2 linked regions of the Lytechinus pictus genome follow. The protein of the gene in region 1 interacts with the protein of each later gene in a biochemical or structural test. Links are inferred from orthologs where the notes say so. Each region holds a gene or a part of one and is shown in the gene's direction. Other genes may lie near its edges.

Region 1 (11,292 bases):
ACCCACGGTACGCCACTGGTACTCGACATCATCAGAGAATGACTGGAACTGGTCATGACCAATTGGGAATTCAATTTCAAACAAGAAATTTTATCAACCCGACCAGTTTACTATAACATTTATCTGAAAAATATTATTCTTTTATCTCTTAACCATAGTGATAATATATATAATGAAAATAATGACAATGATGATGATGATGATAATAATGAAATAATAATAATCATAATAACGATGATAATGAAATATTACTACTACAAATATTAATACTTACAACGATAATATTTAAAAACCACAATGATTTTAGCGATAATGATAATTATATAATAATAGTAAATAATAGTGATGATAATTTTATCTTTAAAAACCAGCAAGCGCTACGCGCTCGCGTTATATGATTACCGAGGTAGAGTGTACGTATCCTTTTCATGAATTCAAATAAGGAGCAGATCGTATAATATCGAAAGCAATATCGATATCACATTCGTGATTGTTGACGCCCTCTCCGTTCGTTTGTAAATATTTCATAGTTTGGCTGCCATATTGACCTTTTTTATCGTGTTCAACCCAATTAAACATCGGTAAAGTATAATTTTTCATGCCTTTTCATCTATATCGTTTAAAGTATTTTGTTAACAAAATATCCAGTTTTAAAAGTTTGTTGGTTATACATCCTTAGATTGTAAATTCGATGTGTAAAATTACATCAAACTTTGGACTGTGAATTGACAAAAGGGTGGGAATGAGAACAAATGCGAGCCCACACGTATACCCTACCGTCGGTTAATGGGGATTATAGTAAAATGTCAGAAATTGTTGAATAAATCCCCAGAAACGACGGTTATTCCTGTCTAGGGAATGAGAACACATGCGAGCCCACACGTACACCCTACCGTCGGTAAATGGGGATTACAGTAAAATGTCAGAAATTGTTGAATAAATCCCCAGAAACGACGGTTATTCCTGTCTATCTACCGCCTAGCCCTAGGCCCTAGCTTCCCATGACGAAGCTGAGCTGAGCTGAGGAGCCGTCAGAGCTAAAATTGAATGGATGTTGTTGTTGCTTGGCTTTTGTTCAAAAATCATATTTACATCATGATAATAACCTAGTCTTGAGGACTCCATGATGATGTCTTTTAAAACAAATTTGACATGATATACTTCTCCATCATGGAGTCTTGAATCCCTTCCCATACATGCATAAGAGAATCTTGTAAACACAGATGGATTTCCCCAGGAAATCCATCTTTTTTATTAAAAATCACGAAAATTAGCAGGATTTTATTATTCTCTACACCTTCCTACGCCTAATGCATAAGAAGGTTTAAAAAAATATTGAATAAAAATACGTAAAAATAAAGGTTTCTTACCAGACCGATGTCGTGTAGATCCTTCGCTCCACATGTACACAGCGCAAATACAATGGCGACGACCCTTGAACCGCTTATGTATGACGTACATGTACGTAGGTAAACACAGAGAGAAATAGTGCGCATGCATAGCTTATTGTGCACGTACAAGATTAGGAGCGCTAAACTCGTCATTATCATAAGAATGTTTGACCTCTGCACGACGTCGGCCGGGAATCTTGTACTAGCACAATAAGCTACGCATGTGCACTATTTCTCTCTGTGTTTACCTACGTACATGTACGTCATACATAAGCGGTTCAAGGGTCGTCGCCATTGTATTTGCGCTGTGTACATGTGGAGCGAAGGATCTACACGACATCGGTCTGGTAAGAAACCTTTATTTTTACGTATTTTTATTCAATATTTTTTTAAACCTTCTTATGCATTAGGCGTAGGAAGGTGTAGAGAATAATAAAATCCTGCTAATTTTCGTGATTTTTAATAAAAAAGATGGATTTCCTGGGGAAATCCATCTGTGTTTACAAGATTCTCTTATGCATGTATGGGAAGGGATTCAAGACTCCATGATGGAGAAGTATATGTCAAATTTGTTTTAAAAGACATCATCATGGAGTCCTCAAGACTAATAATAGCCAATATTTTTATTATTTTTCTTGCTCTTTGAATTGAAAGATACTGCCTTCTTTTTCGAGTATTAGGCTACTATTAATTAAAAATATTTTTCTTATTTCAAGAAAATATCACATTTTCTTTGTGAATTTGAAGAGAAATGACCTTCAGACTGACAGAAATGTAACATTTTTGGAAAAAAAATCAAATTATTGGCTGCAAAATAGAAGAATTAAATTAGGTCAATTTTCAGCATTTCTCTGCCATACTCCCATAGACTGTGTAGTTAAGAAATGGACACACACAATTCCAAATTTTTAGCTTCCGAGAGCTGTTATAAATTTATCATTAATGCTAAAAACTTGTCCATAAAGAGTCCAATAGGATTTTTTATGCTCTTTCTGATGGTATGATTTTTATAAAGATTTGGAAACCAGATCACAATGAAAAATTGCGACAAAGTGAAAAAAAATTGTGCAAAACAGACATTTCATTTTCCCATAGAAAACGCATGGGGAAATGGCAATCTCAACACACACACAAATAAGGGTTTGCAATTTATCTCTAAATCCTTATTTAAAATGATCATATAAACTTGTCCTTACTGTCAAAAGAAGCCCCTGAATTTTCTCTTTCCATACATGCCAAACACAAGTTAATAATCAATTCAGATCACATTTTTCTAGCAGCCTGAATTTCCCGAAAAAATGTGCCATATTTTCCCCTAAATCAGCCTGTTTTATGCTGACACTTTTCAGTGTGGCTTCAGACACCCTAGTATCAACATTTTGTATTTCTCGTAGTCGTACACTAGACAGCTGGCAGCCGTCTGTTTCGAGGAGTTTTTTTAACATTTTAAAATTTTTTTGTTTCTCATACACAGACGGCTCGCTATCGTGCAGCCGCCATTAGGGGGTTAACAATTCAAAATTCCCCCGACGGGGCTCATCGATTTTTGTCTTTATTTCATAAAAATACAAAAAAGAAATGGACTAAAATGAAGGTTATTATTCTGTTTTGGCCTGAAATGCACCAAAACGGGGAAAAATAAACTTAAAAGAAAGAAAAAAAGTGACTTACTTCGGCTGTTGCGCAACTCCCACTCCCTGGTTTATCCCATTTTACACATAACAATATGGCCATTGAGTCCCTGTACACATCGAGTTAGAACTACGGTCTCTGTAATTGGTGAGTGGAGCTAACGGAGTTCAGCGTAACAGCAATATAACAGACCGAAGCTTTTGGTCTACTCGTACACAGACAGCTCGTGATCGTGCAGCCGCCATTAAGGGGTTAACAATGCAAAATACGCTGACGGGGCTTATCGATTTTTGTCATTATTTCATAAAAATTTATAAAAAGAGCTGGACCAAATAATAATTATTATTCCGTTTTGGCCTGAAATGCACCAAAACAGGAAAAAAATTAACTTAACGGGAAAAAAAACAGTGACTTACTTCGGCTGTCGTGCAACTTCCACTTCCCTGGTTTATCTGAACTTAATACTTAAACATATGGCCAATGAGTCCCTGTACAGATCGAGTTAGAACTTTGGGGCTCGTTTCTCAACACCGTCATAAGTCTGGTTATGATATAACCTTGTTCTCTGTTACTCCTCCATCAGTCCATGTGAGGCAAAATAAGGTTGGCAATGTTTCTTAAAGGACAAGTTCACCCCAACAAAAAGTTGATTTGAATAAACAGAGAAAAATCCAACAAGCATAACACTGTAAATTTCATCAAACTCGAATGTAAAATAAGAAAGTTATGACATTTTAAAGTTTCGCTTAATTTCACAAAACAGTTGTATGCACATCCTGGTCGGTATGCAAAATGAGGAGACTGATGACATCATCCACTCACTATTTCTTTTGTATTTTATTATATCAAAATATGAAATATTCTGATTTTCTCCTCAGTGTCAAGTGAAACAACAATTAATTCCTCCCTTAGGAACATGTGGAATTAGCATTATTTAATACTACATGGTTCAGTCAAGTTGGTCCTTATTGTCAAATCTGTGAAAAATGAAATATTGTATAATTCAAACAATAAGAAACAAAGGAAATAGTGAGTGAGGGACACCACCAACTCTCACATTTGCATGCCACTAAGCTGTGCATATCACTGTTTTGTGAAAAATAAACGAAATTTTAAAATACCATAACTTTCTAATTTTACATCCGATTTTGATGAAATTTTCAGCGTTATGCTAGTTTTTTTTTCTATTTATTCAAATCAACATTTTTCCGGGGTGGACTTGACCTTTAAGTAAATTTGATTCTTTTAATTTTCTCTAAATTAAAAATATAGATTGAAAAAGACAATTTTCTTGCCATATTACTTTCCACCAATAGAGGCATACACAAAAATATGCAAAAAATTCAAGTTTTTGAGCACTTTGGTGAATAAAAAAATTATTCCCAAGTTACCAATGAAAAATAAATTGCAACTGTATCAATATTAGTGTTTTTGTTCCCAAAAGTGATATTTAAATGATGTTTTAAAATGTGTGCTGTGTAATGCATTGGCATACCATAGTCCTACATCTACCTGTAGATTCCCCACATGCAGGAAGGTTGCAGTGAGCAAGTGGGCCTAAGTAATGTTAATCTAATTAACCCAGAGAGAGCTAAGCTAAGCCAGAGGCCCGCGCCTTCGCAGGCTGGAGCCCAGAAGGTAACCATGTCAAACAGTAGGCTGCCACAGGTAGCATTCTAAAATGGGTACTGGTACCTTCGAGGTTGGGGTACCAGAAACACCCAAAATTAAAGAAAAAAAGAGAAATCATGCACCCACCTCAATTCTATGGATGACGGTCTAACTGACAGCAGAATACTGAGACCTGACATGGAGGCAGTAGCCAGCACCAGACCCTAAAAAAAGGGGGAAAAGGCCGCGTTCGTTCACTCGCTTTAAAAATTGCAAAAAAAAGTGGCCGATCGATATACCAAGGGCGCATGTGCGAATTTGGCTGAGTCTATTTATTTTTCTTCAAAATCTGTTTTCTTTGCACATACGCCATCGGTAAATCAATTGGCCAGTTTTGTTTGCAATTTTGAAAGCGAGTGAACGAACGCGGCCTTTGCCCCTCTTTTTTGAGGGACTGGCTACTGCCTCGATGTCAGGATTCTGCTGTCGGTTAGGCCTTCATCCATAGAATTGAGGTGGGTGCATGACTTCATTTTTTTCTTTAATTTTTGGGTGTTTTTGCTACCCCAACCTCGAAGGTACCCATGTTAGATGATTGGGTTAGGTCTAACCATGCTAACAGACTATCATTGCAATTGCTCTTTCCCAAATTTTACATTGTTTTTAACACAGCTTTGATGACAATAATTTCCCCCCCCCCCTGACCCACCTCAATAGGGCACTTGTGCACCGGTAATAAACCAGTTCACTAAATCATGCTAAAGTATTAAAGACTCTCATACTCAGATTCATTCCTTGTATCCTACTGAATTGAATTGGAAACATTTAAATTCTCAGTCAGCATGGTCAGGTTTCGTGGCTTCTGCTTTTGCTGTAAATTCCAATATGGACTGAAGTACGCAACCAAAATTATGCAAACGGGTGGGCAGGACTTTTAACTTCAGCCCATATCAAAACTAGCCGTGTAGTATTCAGCGGAGATGAGTGTAGGCATCTGAGAATTTGAACGATGGCATCAAGGTTGAAGCCAAAATAAAGGTGTTCCTGATGCTCGATGTGGTTGAAAATCAGGTTAAGGATCAATACTTGGGAAAAAATTCAGACAAAAATTGCCAGGTGCAAAAGCTGCAGTGGCAGTGTTGTCTGAGTTCCGGGTGGGTCCATGACTCAGAAATTTATTTTTTGCTAAACCTTGCAGTCCGTGTTCAGGCCGGGTTTTCCTTCCGCGCTCCTACGTTATTCAGGAAAGTTGGTGATCATTCCCACTTCACTAAAAACTGACGGTAGTCATAAGTGACCATCTTGATGACATCATCTTCCAACTAGACTCTGTATGATAAGCAAGTAAAGTGGTGATCAATGGTGAGTTAGACGTAAGCCACCTTTACTCATGAGATGATGTTCTATTGTTGTGCCATTTACCAACTTGGGTTTGTCAGCAAATTGTCTTTTATTCAAATCATTATGAAAATTAAATCTGCAAGGTTTATGCAGGTCATTTTGGTTATGTCAAATAAACTCTATTTTTTTTTACTTGGGGGTAAGGGCCTAACTGGTATGTTGCCACCAAGCCTGACCAAATGCTGTGTGAAGCAGATTTGTGATATCGAGTGTTGATTCAAAATGTCATAACTTTCATGTTTCATTTATAATCAATTTTCTGTACACTGCTTGTTTAATGTTCTCTAATTCAAATTAATTTCTTGTTGGGATGGACTTCATGTTAACCTCAAACATTTCTTTTTTTTTTCCTTCTACAGCTAATAGCGACAAAGAATCATGAGATCTGTCTCCATTCAGAAACTTGCCCAATTGCAGAGTGATGTTGACAAGATCAGAAACATTTGTATCTTAGCACATGTTGATCATGGTAAGCCGCATGAATATTAAAGCTGTATGTTCAAAGAAATGCAGTATCATTGACATGCCCAGCTCTGCATTGCAGAGTAAGACTATAGGTGCTGCTTTACCGACGACATTGTCAACATTGAAATCTTGTCCAAGGTTAAGTTTTGAAATGTTGTGATAACTAGTATAATAACAGCTAAGATTTCATGATATCACAAAGTAAAGATTACGTTAAAATACCAGATCTAGATCTATGATAATACTGTGACAATCAACCTTGATTTTAAAGACTTTCTCATGAAAAAAATTGCTTGCTGCAACAACATTCTTTTACCTTTAAACAGAATATTATCAAGCTTGAATACTCTATTCGATTTTTTTTTTCTGTTCAGGTAAAACTACCTTGGCAGATGCTCTCATCTCCAGTAATGGGATCATATCCACCCGTATGGCCGGCAAGCTGAGGTACATGGACAGCCGCGAAGATGAACAGCTACGAGGCATCACCATGAAATCCAGCGCCATCTCCCTTCTCTATAGCAATACTCCAGGTACGATGGAAAAAGTTACATCGGGGCTAGAGGTGATTTCGCCCCCCAAAATGCTGAAAGAGCCCTGGAAAATGAAAAAAAAAAACACTGGAAAGTCCACATTCTCTGAAATGTTAAAGCTTATCCAATGTTGTAGCAGGTTTAGCCAGTAGATTGTGAAAAGAAGGCCCAGAAAATGAAGTTATTCTTTTGCCTGCAGGTTTGTTCCATGCTTGCAAACATTATATCCAGGAGGGCTGTTTCACAAAATATTAAGATTGAGTGTAACTACATAATGGCAGGCAATAAATAGCACTTCTTGCTCTTGCCATTCGATCATTTGGGTGTTTTAAAAATTGTAAAGTGTGGCTTAAATTCGCATTAAAATCCCAAGTTGTGTGTGGCAGAGGTATCACTGCATTGATCAAATCATGTGAAGAGGATGCATACTACTGCGTATTAGTTAATAAGATTGCTTGTTACATATATTTGAAAATTACATTACTTTGCTTTTAGTTTTGCCTATTTGTTTTCCTCACATATGTGCCTCTGTCAGTGAGTCAAGGTAGTCTGCAGGCACAGACTCATATTTGACAGTTTAACTAAAACCATGTCTAGAGTGAAGACTAGACTCCGAAGTCTCTCTCTCTCTCTCTGTGTCAGAGCCAGCCACCGTACATAGTGAATCTAGTCTCGCCACTTCAGACTCTGCATTATGCACTTTGGGAAATTGCAAAAACCAAGGGTCTACAGACTATAGAGTCAAGGGCCCATATTCATAAAACCATGATAGGTCTTTTCACCACCTAATTGTACATCATGGCCAATATTGTTGTAATTTTTAATAGCTTGCTTATTATGGTTTATCTTAGACCATGGTCTAACTCTCTGCTCATATTATGGGAAGCCAAAAGTGTCCAAAGTTGTATGTTTCTTATGCAGGGTAGGAATTAATTTTTTTTTTTAGGGGCTACTTTTTTTTTTACATTGGGGCTACCACTGAATATCTTGGGGCTATTTTCTAATTCATGGGGCTACTTTTTTTATCGCATTATATCAGCAATTACCTTTTGACATTCCGAGACTCAATGTGATGCCTAGAGGCTCAGAACATGTTTATCTGTAATTACTGTAGGCTACAGGCCTTACAATAAACAACAGTGATCCCACCAGAGCAGTGGCGTACCTAGGATTTTTCACAGGGGGGCAAATTCGTCCGCCCAATAATGTGACAAGCAAAAAAAAAGTCTTCAACCACAAATATAGGATTTTGTACCCCCCCCAAAAAAAGTGCATGGGTTGTGACTCGTCAGGGGGGGCAGACTGCCCCCTGCCCCCCCCCCCCCCCGTAGGTACGCTGTCGTCTTCAGCTTCACACACTTCAGATTCCAGCCAATCGAGGCCCCAAGTCCAAGACTTTATTGTCGATTGTCTCTGTACAGTACTGTTTCTTTTTTGGCTTATCCTTCTCAACAGTATCTCGATTTGGAGAGGCTTCTGGCTCTGGCCGTTTGGCAGAGCCAGGTTGAACTCGAATTAGAAACTTATCCATCTCGCACTCCGACTCGACGATGTCGATAATCAGCGCTGTCACAATCACCAGCTGATTGCATACTTCTGTGCATGCCTAGTACACATAATATACCGTACGATGTACGTGGTCTCGTTACCAGCTGTGCAGTCTAATCGTGCACGTGTACATGTACATAAGCCATGCGGCAAGTGCGTCAACAATTCTAAAAACCCCGTGCTAAAGACTATGCGTACTCCGCATCCCATATTGCATTGCGCGTTTATTTACTATCGCGAAGCTTCCGGTGTTACGGAAGGTTCGGATATTGCATCGACCGTTCAACTTAAAGCTGGCAAGGGCGATATAAAAGATGCACTTGTTCCGCCGCCAGAGAACGTAATTATGTGAAGTATTTTTTACATTGTCGATGGTATTTTATTGGGGCGATTCTGAAATAAATAGTCGCCCCAAAGCATTGTGTTTTGAGAATTTTTAGGGGCGATTTGGGCTGTCATGGGGGCAAATTCGCCCGTCGCCCCCGTGTAATTCCGACCCTGTTCTTATGTTTACTGTGCTCTTTCCTGATTCATCGATGGTGAATACAATCATCTATTTATACTTCCTAGACAATTATGAATGATTTTAGGGCCAAATGAGCTGAAATATGTATATATATATCTCTACTGTTAGTGATTTATAATTATGTAACAATTGGCTATCCATGCTTAAACCACAACTTTAAACCTGGGTTTAATTCAAACTCGACTTCAGAATACGGGCCATAGTGTCTTAGAAATCCATATTGCTGTTGTTGTTATTCCATTATCAATGAGGTCAGTGTTGAATTTTCTTATTTCATCCACAGAAGAGGAGTATCTGGTGAATCTGATCGACTCCCCGGGGCATGTGGATTTTTCCAGTGAAGTTTCTACTGCTGTCAGGCTGTGCGAGGGAGCCCTAGTAGTCATCGATGTCGTAGAAGGCGTCTGCCCACAGGTCCGTTTTCTATGTCTCTTTTTTTTAAAGATTGGTGATTCGTAAATGATAATTGGGAGCCTCTTGGCCAGTTGGACCTGTGTATACTCATTTGCAGCTTTGCATAGAATTAAAAAGTAGAGTTTATATTTACAGTGAAACCTGTCTATAGTGGCCACCCATGGGAAGCACACAAATTAGGTGGCTGCTACACACAACTTCTTACAAACACAGTCTGCCTCCATGGGAGTCAGTTTTAGTGTTCATAATAGACAGGTGGCTGCTATAGACAGGTTCTTAAACGCACAATCTGCCTCCATGGGAATCAGATTTGGTGGTCACAATAGACAGGTGGCTGCTATAGACAGGTTCTTATACACACAATCTGCCTTCATGGGATTCAGTTTTAGTGGTCACAATAGACAGGTGGCTGCTATAGACATGTTCTTATACACACAATCTGCCTCCATGGGAATCAGATTTGGTGGTCACAATAGACAGGTGGCTGCTATAGACAGGTTCTTACACGCACAATCCTTCATGGGAGTCAGTTTTAGTGGTCACAATAGACAGGTGGCTGCTATAGACAGGTTCTTATACACACAATCTGCCTCCATGGGAATCAGATTTGGTGGTTACTGTAGGCAGGTGACTGCTATCATGTGGCCGATAACACAGGTTTGACTGCAGTTACCATACGTACACAAAGGTGTCTGATCGCCTGTTTAGGATTTTGAAGATTAGAGATTTTCCAGTTTATTTATTTTAACCTCATGAGCTTAGCATATAGTTGCAGACCACATTATCATTTATTGTTGATCTTTCATTGAATGCTTAATAATAATATATAGCTTGTTGTTTTTTTTAATGTAAATCAAAGAAATCAGAGATTGTGTATACATGTATTCTACTTTAATTATGATTACAAATATTATAATTGTATCTTGTATATTTTTGTAAGTTTAGTTAGTGTTGTTCATTTTGAGGGCCTTTAACACCCACCATATTGGTGGATATATTTTTCTCTTTATAAGCTGTGTTTTTATTGTCCCGCCCACCAAGTATGAAGACAGGACTTAGGGATCCATATCCAGCCCTACCCTACCATCACAAAACTGTCACATGATAAGCAATTTTTATGGGAGTCGCTATGGCAGATATTTCACAGTAAGCTGTTGGTGCAATTCTGCTGTGTGGCAACGGCGACCACAATATTTCTAGTAAATTTTGCAATCGTCGAGATACAATTCACCAATGCCTTGGTATTATCACCCCTTCAGACTCATGTCGTCTTAAGGCAGGCCTGGCTGGAGCACATCAAACCTTGCCTGGTGCTGAACAAGATAGATCGGTTGATCAGTGAGCTCAAGTACACACCGATGGAAGCACATCTTCATCTTCAGCAGGTCCTGGAGCAAGTCAATGCTGTCGTAGGAAACCTCTACGCTTCACATGTCCTGGAGAAAGCTTCAAGCGTAGGTGTTCACTTTGACCATGCCGCTTCTGTAATGGTTTTATTTATAGGCATTATGCCTCTGTACCTGTGCTGCAGTTCTATGCAAGTCAGATTTAGGTCATAAATTGATTCACTCAATTGTGGATTTGAAGTTGATTTGATGGTCTGTTTTTGGTTACCAAAAGGTCGACTTGATTTGCTGGGACCTGTTGCATAGAAGTTACTATTATGGTAACTTTGACATCCAATGGTAACTACCATGGCAACAATGCTAAACAGTCAATCAAACTCAAGGAATCCCTGAAAGTTACCATTGGATAGCACAGTTACCATAAG
Region 2 (11,292 bases), on another chromosome or scaffold:
GCCGATAGTTGGAGTACCCGGTCGGCCCATTCCGGCAGGGACTCGGTGGGTCCCTGCTTGGCCGCCACAAACTCCAGCTGAGCAGATTCGGAAAGACCTTCCTCCCCGAACCTGTGCTGCAGCCTGACTATCAAGTCTGCATAAAGCATATTGGGCTCTTGATCTAGGACCATTAACAGATAATCTTCTGCCTTCCCTTTCAGGCCCCAGTATAGCTGGCTTACGCGCTCCGCGGCATTCCAATTATGGTGATCAGCAAAGGCGGAGAACTTCCTAAAGAAAGCCCTCCAGTTACCCTTGCCGTCGAAAGTGAGGGACTTTGGCAGCGTGTAATATGGTAACCCACCGCCAGTCCCCCTTCCCGAGGAAGCACTAGAGTTCGCAGGTGACGCAGCCGGGCTACTAGGCGGCGAAGACGAACTGTACTGGGCTGGGCGTGTCATACCCGCCCGCACATTCCTTGCGCTGAAATCTGGGGTAGGGGGTGGGGCCAAGGAGCCCCTTCCTTCACCTACCTTGGACCTCATGGCTACCGCTTGCTTGGTGGTGGGGTCATCGCCCCCAGACCATTCGCTTGAATCGCCACTCGCCTGCATAAATCTATTGACAGAGGCACCATTAGCCTCCTCGCCAACTAGATTCCTGAGCCTAAACCTAGGCTCTACACCACTCCCCATATCTCCCCCTCTGGTGCTTGGGGGCTCATGCCCCCGCTCCTCCCGGAAGTGAGATGAGCTGGTGCCCCAGGACCCACTAGACTGGTTACTTTGACTTGACCTAGGGGGCTGGTGTTGGTCATAGGGGTAAACACCCCTGGAACCTGCCACCCCATTCAGGTCAGACTCGCTACGGGTGCCCGCAGTGATGCGCCCCCTAGGGGTAATAAAAATACTGCCCTCTACCCCCTGGGTGCCCCCCGAAAAGTCTACTCTTTGTGCTAGCTCCCTATTGCTGCATAGCGCTGGGCTGCTTTCGAAAAGCTTGGGGGTTATCTCCCCATGATCAAGTCTAATCCCCTGGATTATCCCTGCTAGAGCTGGACTTAGCCCTAGCAACCTAAACTCCTCAAAGGAGCACACATTAATGGGGATTTTCTCTTCCCCGTCCATGTTGTGCTTACCCTAATTGGTGTTATCCTAGCAAGGTTCAGTTAGGCCCAATACTGAGCCCAACCAAACCCCTGTTGAAATTATCCAAAAGCTATTCTAAAACTAGGTCTCAACCTATCTTATTAAATTCTTTCTTTTATTTCCTTTTGGCAACTAAATTACAAAAAGGTCCAAATGTATACCCCAATCAGCTTATGGTTAGGCACAATAATAAGCCCGACCAAAAACCTACTTAAATTTATCTGAAAGTGGTCCCAATAAATTCTTTTATTTTTTAGCAACTAAAATTATAAAAACCGGTAAAGAGTCCAAAATTATACCTTTAACAGTCAATGGTTAGGCACAGTGATAAGCCCGACCAAAAACCTGCTAAAGTTATCCAAAAAAGCTATCCCAAAAAATTAGGTCCAAATGCCAACCCAATTTATTTTATAACAATTCTTTTATTTTTAGCAACTAAAATTATAAAACCGTATAAGTCCAAAAATATACCTTTAACAGTTAATGGTTAGGCACAGTAATTAGCCCGACCAAAACCTGCCAAAGTTATCCAAAAAAGCTATCCCAAAAAATTAGGTCCAAATGCAGACCCAATTTATGGTATAAACTTCGTTTTATTTTCTTTTTAGCAACTAACAACCGGTAAAGAGTCCAAAATTATACCTTTAACAGTCAATGGTTAGGCACAGCGATAAGCCCGACCAAAAACCTGCTAAAGTTATCCAAAAAAGCTATCCCAAAAAATTAGGTCCAAATGCAAACCCAATTTATGGTATAAAATTCTAGCTTTTATTATTAATTAGATTAGTTTAGTCCGGTTGTGGCTAATAGTTTGCACAAGCACTGCCAAAAAGAATAATTGTAGCTCTAAAAATATTTATATTAACCTCTAACGTTAAGCCTAACTTGTCTTTTATTAATTTACCTAGGCTATTTATTTTATTAATCCTCGAAGCTGGTTCTGTCCTCAATCACGCTAGTGACTAGTGCCCGCTCACACCACAGACAAATTACATGTACTTATTCACATACACAGTCGCCCCACACTCTCTCCAAATTTTTTTTTTTATTTCTTTTATTTATTTGGCAACGGACTCCCCGCTACAACAAGTGGGTGGGTCCACACGCAACACAACACTACACACTGGCACCAAAAACCAACCTATTACGGTATGCAATACACAACCAATGGTCGTGCACAGTTGCACTGGATCTAACGTCAAACCCGGAAATGATCGGGCGGTCTAACTGGTTAGATCTCGATAATTACCGTGAATTCTACCCAGCTTCGAGTACAAAACGTTCCCCCAAAATTTGGACAAAACACCCTAAAACACCACACAAAATTCAAAATATCCGAAATAGGCAGGCAAGAGAGGATTGGGATAATGCCCTACCTTTGTTGGTCAGTCTGGCTTCCCGTCCTACTCGCCCAAATAATCGCCGTTGTTTACCCGTATACGTGCGATGGATTGGTCCGGCCTGACGTCAGTTCGGATCTCAAACTAGACCCAAACGTTGAGCCGACGATGTAAAACAAGATGGCGCCGGTCGGTGGCAGAGAGAACCAATAATATCTCTCCGCCAATAGATCGCCGTGAAATCTTGGATCGGGCCGCGCGCTTTTACCTAGCCGGAACACACACACTCTTACGCACCTCTCACCCCAACAAAAATAGTTCACTCACAAATCACTCGCAAAACGACACAAAAATCATCCAAACACCCAAAATCACAAGCAAATCACACAATCACACCAACGTGAAACACAGTCCACAACTAAAAACGGATATTAAAGCACAAAACTAAAACAAACTCACAACACAACAACACGTGTGTTCTCCCCCCTTTTCTGGAAATTTCCGTCACGGGACCGGAACTACCATCAGTCCCCGCGACGAAAACCTTACCAAAAAAGACAGGGGACGATTGCCTAAATATGTCCCAAATCAAGATTTAACCTCTCAATTCAGGACAATCGCAAACATGAAACAAGGGACAATATTCATAGAATATACGCAATACGACAAGGCTCTGAGTCTGAATCTAGCCTTATCAACTGTAATTAGCCCAATCTAAAACTGATTTCTCGTACTCGAGCGGCGACCATTTCCCCCCACGCAGCGGGGCATAGGGATTTGCTCGTCCGATGCGCAATAGGGGGCCGTTAGCTCGCCGCGAGACAATTATACCCCAATTAATTTCAATAATTTGGCCTAAAATGCCCACAAAAGCAGGCACAGTCAGGCTCGCAGCGCCACTGTAGCGGTCGCGCCCCCAGCTTGACCACTAGGCACTAGGTTGATACCTGAAGCTAGAATATAAGGAATAAGTCACTAACCAGTATTTTCCTGGAGTGATGTCCTAGTTCCTGTCTATTCCGTGTGAGTTCAGCTTCAAATACGATGAGCCAAGGGATCCAACGTCCTCCAGCGTCTAAAAGGGGTCCAGCGCCATCTCCCGGTGGAAGACCTATATGGGGGGTGGGGTGACTTACTACAACAATATCATCACTATCGTCCGATATCAAACGATGTCGCGGACTTGGAAGACAAAATTGCCTTCGTGAAACGGAAAGCGCTGATTTGTCGCCAATCTTCCTATCTCGGAAGAATGGTCCTAGGACGTTCCTACGTATCGCTCATCTTGTCATGGAACAGGCCCCGGCCCAGCGCGACAAAGCGATCGAGGCAGAGCCTCGCCCCGGGACGGCTCAGGGCCAGGCTCCGCAGGCGCAGGCGTAGGCCGTAGCTAAGACTACCGCCCCGGAAAAAAATTTGATCAGCTAATTGAAAATTACCTTCATTGATTCATACTCCTTTGCTAAATCGTCCAGTTCTTCGGCGAATCCTGCTATACAAGAATCAGCCATGATTACCTCTTTTGTGGTAAATTTTAAACAAAAGTGATATCGTTGACGTGGTAATTAATCGATTTCCTACACTGCTACAGACACCTGCCGGCGTTCATCGACTGATGCAATGCCAATATGCCATAGGTCACCTATCACTATATTTATCAGCTGTTATGTCAGCTAGGCATCCAAAATTTCGTAATCACTCGAATATTTTATTCAAAAATTCAGCTAAAGTAATAAAGATTAAAATTGAATTACTTAAAATTGTAATATTTATTTATAATACGAAACTTATCATAGATTTATTATCAAATCATTTTCGAATCGGTAACGCAAATATATCTTGTTGAGCGAGCCTGGCCCATCGATGCATCTCGGTTCATGCATGACGCGCGGCAGTCGAGTCGAGCGTAAAATTACCAAAAATCTGCCCGAGTCTCTCGGCTGTTATGATGACTTGAGGACCGATGAACTGTTCGATGCATGCAGTGAGCGGCGAGAAGACGGATCGACGTTACCAGTTATTGCGCAACACTTGCGGACGACACATAGAGATGTATACTAGTAACATCTCTATGGGACGACATGATTACACTGTACTGGCTCGTTGCACTATACGCCACGGCCACGGTCAGAGTTGAGAACTTGAGTCTTTGCTTGCTACCTCCATTCCCTGCCTTCATTTCAAGTATTTTTCAGCCAGCTCATCTAAAAAGTAAAATTTAGCACAATCTACATGATCTAAATTTAACGTTAGATCTAAGTCAGTAACATAAGTTTGGTCTAACTTTTGTTAGACAAGAAAAATTGTTAATTCAAATTCAATTGACGAAAACAGGACACTTCTTCTGACGCTATGTCTGGAACAATTTTCACTCCAACAAATCAGATCCGGTTAACGAATGTTGCCATCGTTAGAATAAAGAAAACTGGTAAAAGATTTGAGATAGCCTGCTACAAGAACAAGGTCATGTCATGGAGAAATAAAGTGTAAGTTAATTTAATATGATAACAATGGATGGATGTAGTCGATGAGGATAATCATGATGATGACGATGCCTGAATAAAGTTATTCTATTTCTAGATCTATGCCAGTCATGATAATTGAATGATATTGTCTAGTCTTCCCGTTGATGGCCACAATGAAAGTGTTGATTATTATGGCAAGTGTCCTCTCTATAATCATGATAATAATCATGATAATAGTATATGTCTGATATGATATTTGATGAGCTGTTTACTTTTGATATTGATCAATATCAGAATCTCGGATAAAGGTAAAGGTAATGACAGATTAAGTTTGGTGAAGATGTGTAAATATCAATGGTCATCTTAATCATGGTGATATGGTGGTGCCTGAAATTCCCTGAATATAGTATGATGATGACTTGGTTTTTGGTATGATGTTCCTCCAAAATACTCCAAGAACAAAAAAGAATAGTTTTAACTGGAGGTGTGCCGTAGAGCTAGAGTGTGGTCTAGATTTTGTTAATTATTGGGTCTTTAGTGAGGGCATTTTTGAAAGTTGTTGATTGGCTGGTCTACAGTTTCTGGTAGAGTTAGAAGGCCATTCCACTGGTTAATAGTTTGGATGAAGGAAGAATTGGCAAATGAGTCTGAGTTTGTGTGCTGCTGTTGGAATCGTCGGGTGTGTCCTTTTCTGCCTCTTGATGGCTTGGCCTTGATGAAGTTTGATGAAGATGAATCTAACTACATCAAGCCCAAGCCATCTGATCTTGTTTTTTTTTTACTTCAGAATTTTAATTCAGGAGAGAAGGGGATTGTGTCAAGCTGATCATTAATAGTTTAACATTAGAACTCTTAGAATTTTGGCTTTTTTTGCAAGAAAATTGTTTTTTAGTTTGATAATGCACTGTCCTGTCCTAGCATGTAGCTGAAGGCTGAACTTTGTATAATTGATTGTTTATCAATAGTCAAATGATTTATGCAGGAACTTAAGATTATACATCACTATCTAATATGAAATGAGTTTTGAAATGAAGTTTTAAATATTCTTAAAATCTAATGAAATCAATATTTTCTAAATTTCTTTTAAACAGAGAGAAGGACATTGATGAGGTTTTACAAACGCATTCAGTATTTGTGAATGTCTCCAAGGGTCAGGTCGCCAAGAGAGAAGATCTTGTCAAAGCTTTTGGAACAGAAGATACCACAGAGATTTGCAAACAAGTAAGTAATTATGTCTTCATTTGTTTAAAGGATCAGTAAATGGTATTGTATCTGTCTTTTATGTATATTTCTTGCATTTTTCTGTTTTGAAGTCAGAACAGAAGCAGAATACCCTCCACAACATTGTAGATATCCCATGTTTAAAAAAATGCTTAGGCTACATACTGTACATACACATACAATCTGACCAGAAAAACTCTCCTTTTTACAATTAGGACTACTGAAAAGGTCACAATCAAACTTCTAAAAGCTAAAATCTTGGATCATCATATCACATTGTTGTTCAAACATGGTTTATATTTCAATTTCATATCTTTTTCTTCATTTTTTGTCTAGGCCTTTATTTTTGCTCCAATGTTGCGTTCTGACTAATATTACCTGTAAATACTTCAATATTATCTTAAAAGTCACGGTTGTTATCGATGTATTTCCATATCATTTAACTTGTAAGACATTTATCCTACATACTCCTTTTGTCCCCACCTCTTTAGATTTTAGCCAAGGGTGAACTGCAGGTCTCTGACAAAGAGCGTAGCCAGCAGCTTGAGTCCATGTTCCGTGATATTGCAACAATCGTAGCTGAGAAGTGTGTTAACCCCAACACTAAGAGACCGTATACTGTAGGCATGATAGAAAGAGCAATGAAAGATATACATTACTCTGTCAAACCAAACAGGAGTACAAAGCAACAGGTATGTCCCATAGTGTAGCTTTAATTAAACATTGCCACTGCTGACCTGGGGGTGTAACACAAAGCTTAGCGTTTGATCATATGGCTGATGTTGATGCTTGATTACATAGATCCTTATGTGCAATCAAGCGTAAAAGTCAAGTATATGATTGATCACAAAGATTTGGTTTACAGACCCCTGATTACTTTATTTTGTCCACTAAGGCTACATTGGCCTGGTTTGTCTAGCTTGCCTAGTATAGGGTTATCTTCGTTGGTCTAAGTCACTTGATGCCAGCATACCTTGATCAATAATATTGTTTTGTCTCATGATCTAATGGTATGATTGCCCCTCCAACTATTAATTTCCTCCATTTTAATTAATGCACCTTTGGTGTATAACAAGTTTGTCTAACCAGATAGACCAAGTGATTACAAACTAAGAAGGCATTGATGGACATAGCCTATGAACTAGAAATTTAGGAAAGGGCTGACTGGTAATTAGAATAAATAGTTAGGAGACAAGGTGGTCATTGGTGAAATGAATTTAAACCATGGAGGTGAGGTAGAGTAGTGTGAGACAGCGGGTTTATACCAAGTGGGTAATACAGGTTTAAAGGATTTAGAAAATTCAATCAGTTGTATTGGTCAATATGGAAATTTAGCCTAAATGGAAAGCAATCAAAATGGGCTTTGATATGCAATATGAATTTGCTAAATATTCATTTAAGGCACCTCAACAAAATTCTGATCAGCCTTTTTTATACAGGGATTAGGCAAACACCTTTTTATTATTAATCATCACATTCATCTTAGGCAAAACAATGGGGATGCAGAAAAGCCGCTTTGAAAAATGCCTTGTTCCTATTAAGCTAGATTTCTGACAAAGAATGCCTATTAGATCATTGATTGTTCTAAAGAAAGTGGGATTAAACAAATTTCTATTCACCTTTGTAAAGATTATGGGAAGAAAAATTTATAGAAAAATTTATCATCATCTTTGTCATTTTTTCACTGCGAAAGGCTCTGGAGGTCATCAGGAAACTTCGAGAGACTGAGACCATGGCAATAGATCGTGCTCAGATGAGGTTGAGGATTGTTCTACCAGGGAAAGAAGCCAAGAAGGTGAAGAGCAAACTGATCCAACTCATAGCTACAGTTGAAGAGGAACATTTCAGTGATGGTTTAGAAATGGTAAGTCCATAAGTTTAAGTAACTCCCAGAAGTATAGAGCATTATTATGGTCTAAAATATTATCCCTCAAATTAGCAATGATTACTTTTTTCTTCCCATTTCAGGAAAAGACATGTTGAGTGATTGGTGATTAAAATTCAAGGGGTAAATTTCTCAATTACTCAATGTATTAAGTGTTTGCATATTGTCATCATGTTACAAATTTTACAATTTTAGTGATCATTCAAAGTCAGTGTTTCAAATATTTATCAGCAGGAGCTGTACAACATGCTGTTTTGGTGTTGCTGATCATATTTCAGGTGTAATTGCTAGCATGTAAAAACAGAAAATAATAAAGGTGTCAGCACAAAAGGACAGAATGAAATAGACAGACTGTCATCATGTTGCAAAAGAAACTCTTTAAATTTCAAGGAAGAGAAATGTGAACACAGATGTTATGATGGACGCCTACATATATATATATACTGTTCTTTGATATCTAGGGAGTGTTTTGTAAATTTTTCTTCCACTAAAAACATATTTTTGGTTCAAAATTGACAAATTCTAAGTGGCATTTCAGGATTAGACTTTATAATGACATTGATACTGAGTAGAAGAAATAACCAGTTGTCTCACGATGTATCAAACATGGATACTGTTCTTTGATCATAGGTATGCCTAGCTGATCCTGGATGCTACAGAGAGATGGAGGAACTGGTCAAGGAGAGTACCAGAGGGAAGGGGATGGTGGAGGTAGTCAGTCTCAAGGAGGTGGAAGAAGGAGATGAGAGATTAGAATGAAACGTCCTCATCACTCTTAACCCATCGACTATTGAACTCTATCATTTCCATGGACATTGTACATGGCCCACAAGGTTCTAGTCGGCAATGGGTTAATCTGTGGATGAATGCACCAGTTTTTGCTCCGAACTCCAAGTAGGATTTATGGCAGAGTTGTTGTACAACCAGAGATTCTTTCTTGGTATAACCAGAGTTCGATCTTGGGTTTACAATTGAATGTTGTACAACCGACCCAATTTTAGATGGGTCAATGAATATTTGGTTGCATGGATGAGAATGCATTAACCATCTAGATTTCTTATCAAAGGGGATTTTCAGTAAAACCAAAACTTACTTTCATAGGCCCATATTCTGAACTCTGGTTATTTGTTTTAACTATGGGTATTCAAAGGTGACACCAATCGTATAATTAGATGATCAATTTATCATCACATTTTGAAAAGATATCATTGAATATTGTCATCAAAACAGGGGAAGGACCTAATAAACACAAAATGCATAACAGTGAAAACAAATTCTGGAAACTTAAAGCTTCCCATAAGTTTGATTAATTTCCCAGACTTAGAACTTGATTTTAGTTAAACTGTGGTCCAAAATACAGACCTAAAGATTCATTCTTGCATTTGTGAAATGTGATTGCACTATACATTAACTGTGTATTGATATTTAAGGCATTATACTTGTACGCACTGTACCTCGTCACGAGAACGGTTGCTGTAAGTACACAAGATTCTTGGTGTATATACTGAGCCTTGGCAATATGATAATGATTTCATCAAAGATAAGTCTTCCTAGACATGGGTACCAGGTGATGTGAAAGAAATTAGAATGCATACTTTCAATTTATAAACATTTCAGTCATCTGAAGAGAATGACATAATCCTGCAAGGCTAGTTTACTTGTAGATCAAACAAATTTCTGTTGAACATGCTGCAGGGCACTAGGGCTGTGTTTTGTGAATGATTTCAGTCTCACTCTACCAATTTTAGTGCTGGTTCTTTAGTCACTCTATAACCATTTGTAGACTGAAGTTTGGTTTGATATTCAAAGTATGCTGTTTATTCAGACATTTAAGTTGTCATATATAGACAGTTGAGTAGCTGAGGTTGTAACTCACAGAAGATTATAGATTTTAACTCATTTTATTGAAACCTGTTGCTTGCCGGCAGTAAACATGTCAAAAATGCTTGTAAAGATACAAGAATTTGAACGAAAAGATTCGTCTGCAGGAGTTAAAACTTACAAAATTTTGTGAAAAGACAAAACAAAGGATTGGTATACATTCTTTATGCAAAATTCATTTTTTGCCAACAAGTGCCTTTGAAACTGGTTATATTTGCAAATTGTTGAATGTCAAAGAAATGCTTGGTTATTTCACAGTAATATTTGATTATTTCACACATAGAAAGAATGATAAAGTATAACTGTTTCAAGTCTTGTCTGGTTTCTCTTTCTTCTTTAGACTGGCAAGTATACGTAATTTACCCCCTCCCAAGTAAAATATCTCATTTAAATCAAACAGATTTCTGTTGTCCCAAGAGATTTGACTTGGGCAGAGTTGTTTATAGTTGTTTGCAAGAGACATTGATAATTGTCTCTTGTATTCTTTGCACCAATTAGATTACTGTGCAATATTATTTCATATCTTACAACAATGGTGTGTGTTAGATGTTTCCGTTTGTTAATTGTATTTCTTCACTTGTCTAGCTTTTTAGGCAGGTGGAATACACATTGGAAACCTGGTCACAAATTATGTATGAATTTTGTTCCTAATAAATGTTGTTATATGCATGCAGTATGAAAATCAATGTCTAATTAGTATACTAGTAATCTGAATATCAAATAGTCAGGCTCATCTAGCAGTATCTAACTTGTAGTCAGACTATTTATATATGGTATATGAAAAGAAATTGGTTAAATGTTAAAAGAAATACTGGTTGGAGATGAAATAAGAATGAAATAAGATCTTAAAGATATTAGAAAAAGGGCCACAGGCACTTCACTATTAAATTGGTATTATCATTAGACCAAGTGACGGTTTGTGCCATGTTATGGGGTACATGTATAGGCCTATATATCTAATTAAGGATAAAAATGTACAAATAAAACATTTTGACTACTTTTATGACTGTTTGGCAGCTAGTGTTACTGTTGACTCATATTCAGAATGATGGTATACCCGATACATGAGATACCTTGATGATGGTCCCAACCACTTCAACCAGCCGGTTTTTTTTTCTTCGGTTTATTAAAATGCAGTTTGGGAGAGTACTTGGCATGTGTATGTTCAAGACAGAGAAAAAATAGAGGATGAATTGGTGGATGATATCTATTAAGGCCACCGCACACCTTACGACTGTTCGCAATCCGATTTTGGAACAAATCGCATTTTGCTCATTTTCTGAAAATGTGAACGGAACATATCATTTTATTTGAGGTTAGGATTCATTGAAAGAATACTACCGTAAGGGCTCTAGTATTCAACCCGTTTG

What was found.
Region 2: the proteins of elongation factor-like GTPase 1 (region 1) and ribosome maturation protein SBDS-like interact in a biophysical measurement, tested with the Homo sapiens proteins (2 studies listed by BioGRID and IntAct, with this or other methods). The link is inferred for Lytechinus pictus from reciprocal best matches to the Homo sapiens genes EFL1 and SBDS.

What each region holds. Positions count from the first base shown.
Region 1 is NC_087249.1:8,411,692-8,422,983, reverse strand, and holds the start of elongation factor-like GTPase 1, read left to right. Parts: upstream 1-5,830; 5' UTR 5,831-5,996; intron 5,997-6,394; 5' UTR 6,395-6,413; coding exon 6,414-6,504; intron 6,505-6,874; coding exon 6,875-7,033; intron 7,034-9,390; coding exon 9,391-9,521; intron 9,522-10,780; coding exon 10,781-10,975; intron 10,976-11,292. UniProt on the Homo sapiens protein: GTPase involved in the biogenesis of the 60S ribosomal subunit and translational activation of ribosomes.
Region 2 is NC_087246.1:13,039,649-13,050,940, forward strand, and holds ribosome maturation protein SBDS-like, read left to right. Parts: upstream 1-4,300; 5' UTR 4,301-4,822; coding exon 4,823-4,956; intron 4,957-6,026; coding exon 6,027-6,156; intron 6,157-6,647; coding exon 6,648-6,848; intron 6,849-7,849; coding exon 7,850-8,020; intron 8,021-8,671; coding exon 8,672-8,800; 3' UTR 8,801-10,925; downstream 10,926-11,292. UniProt on the Homo sapiens protein: Required for the assembly of mature ribosomes and ribosome biogenesis.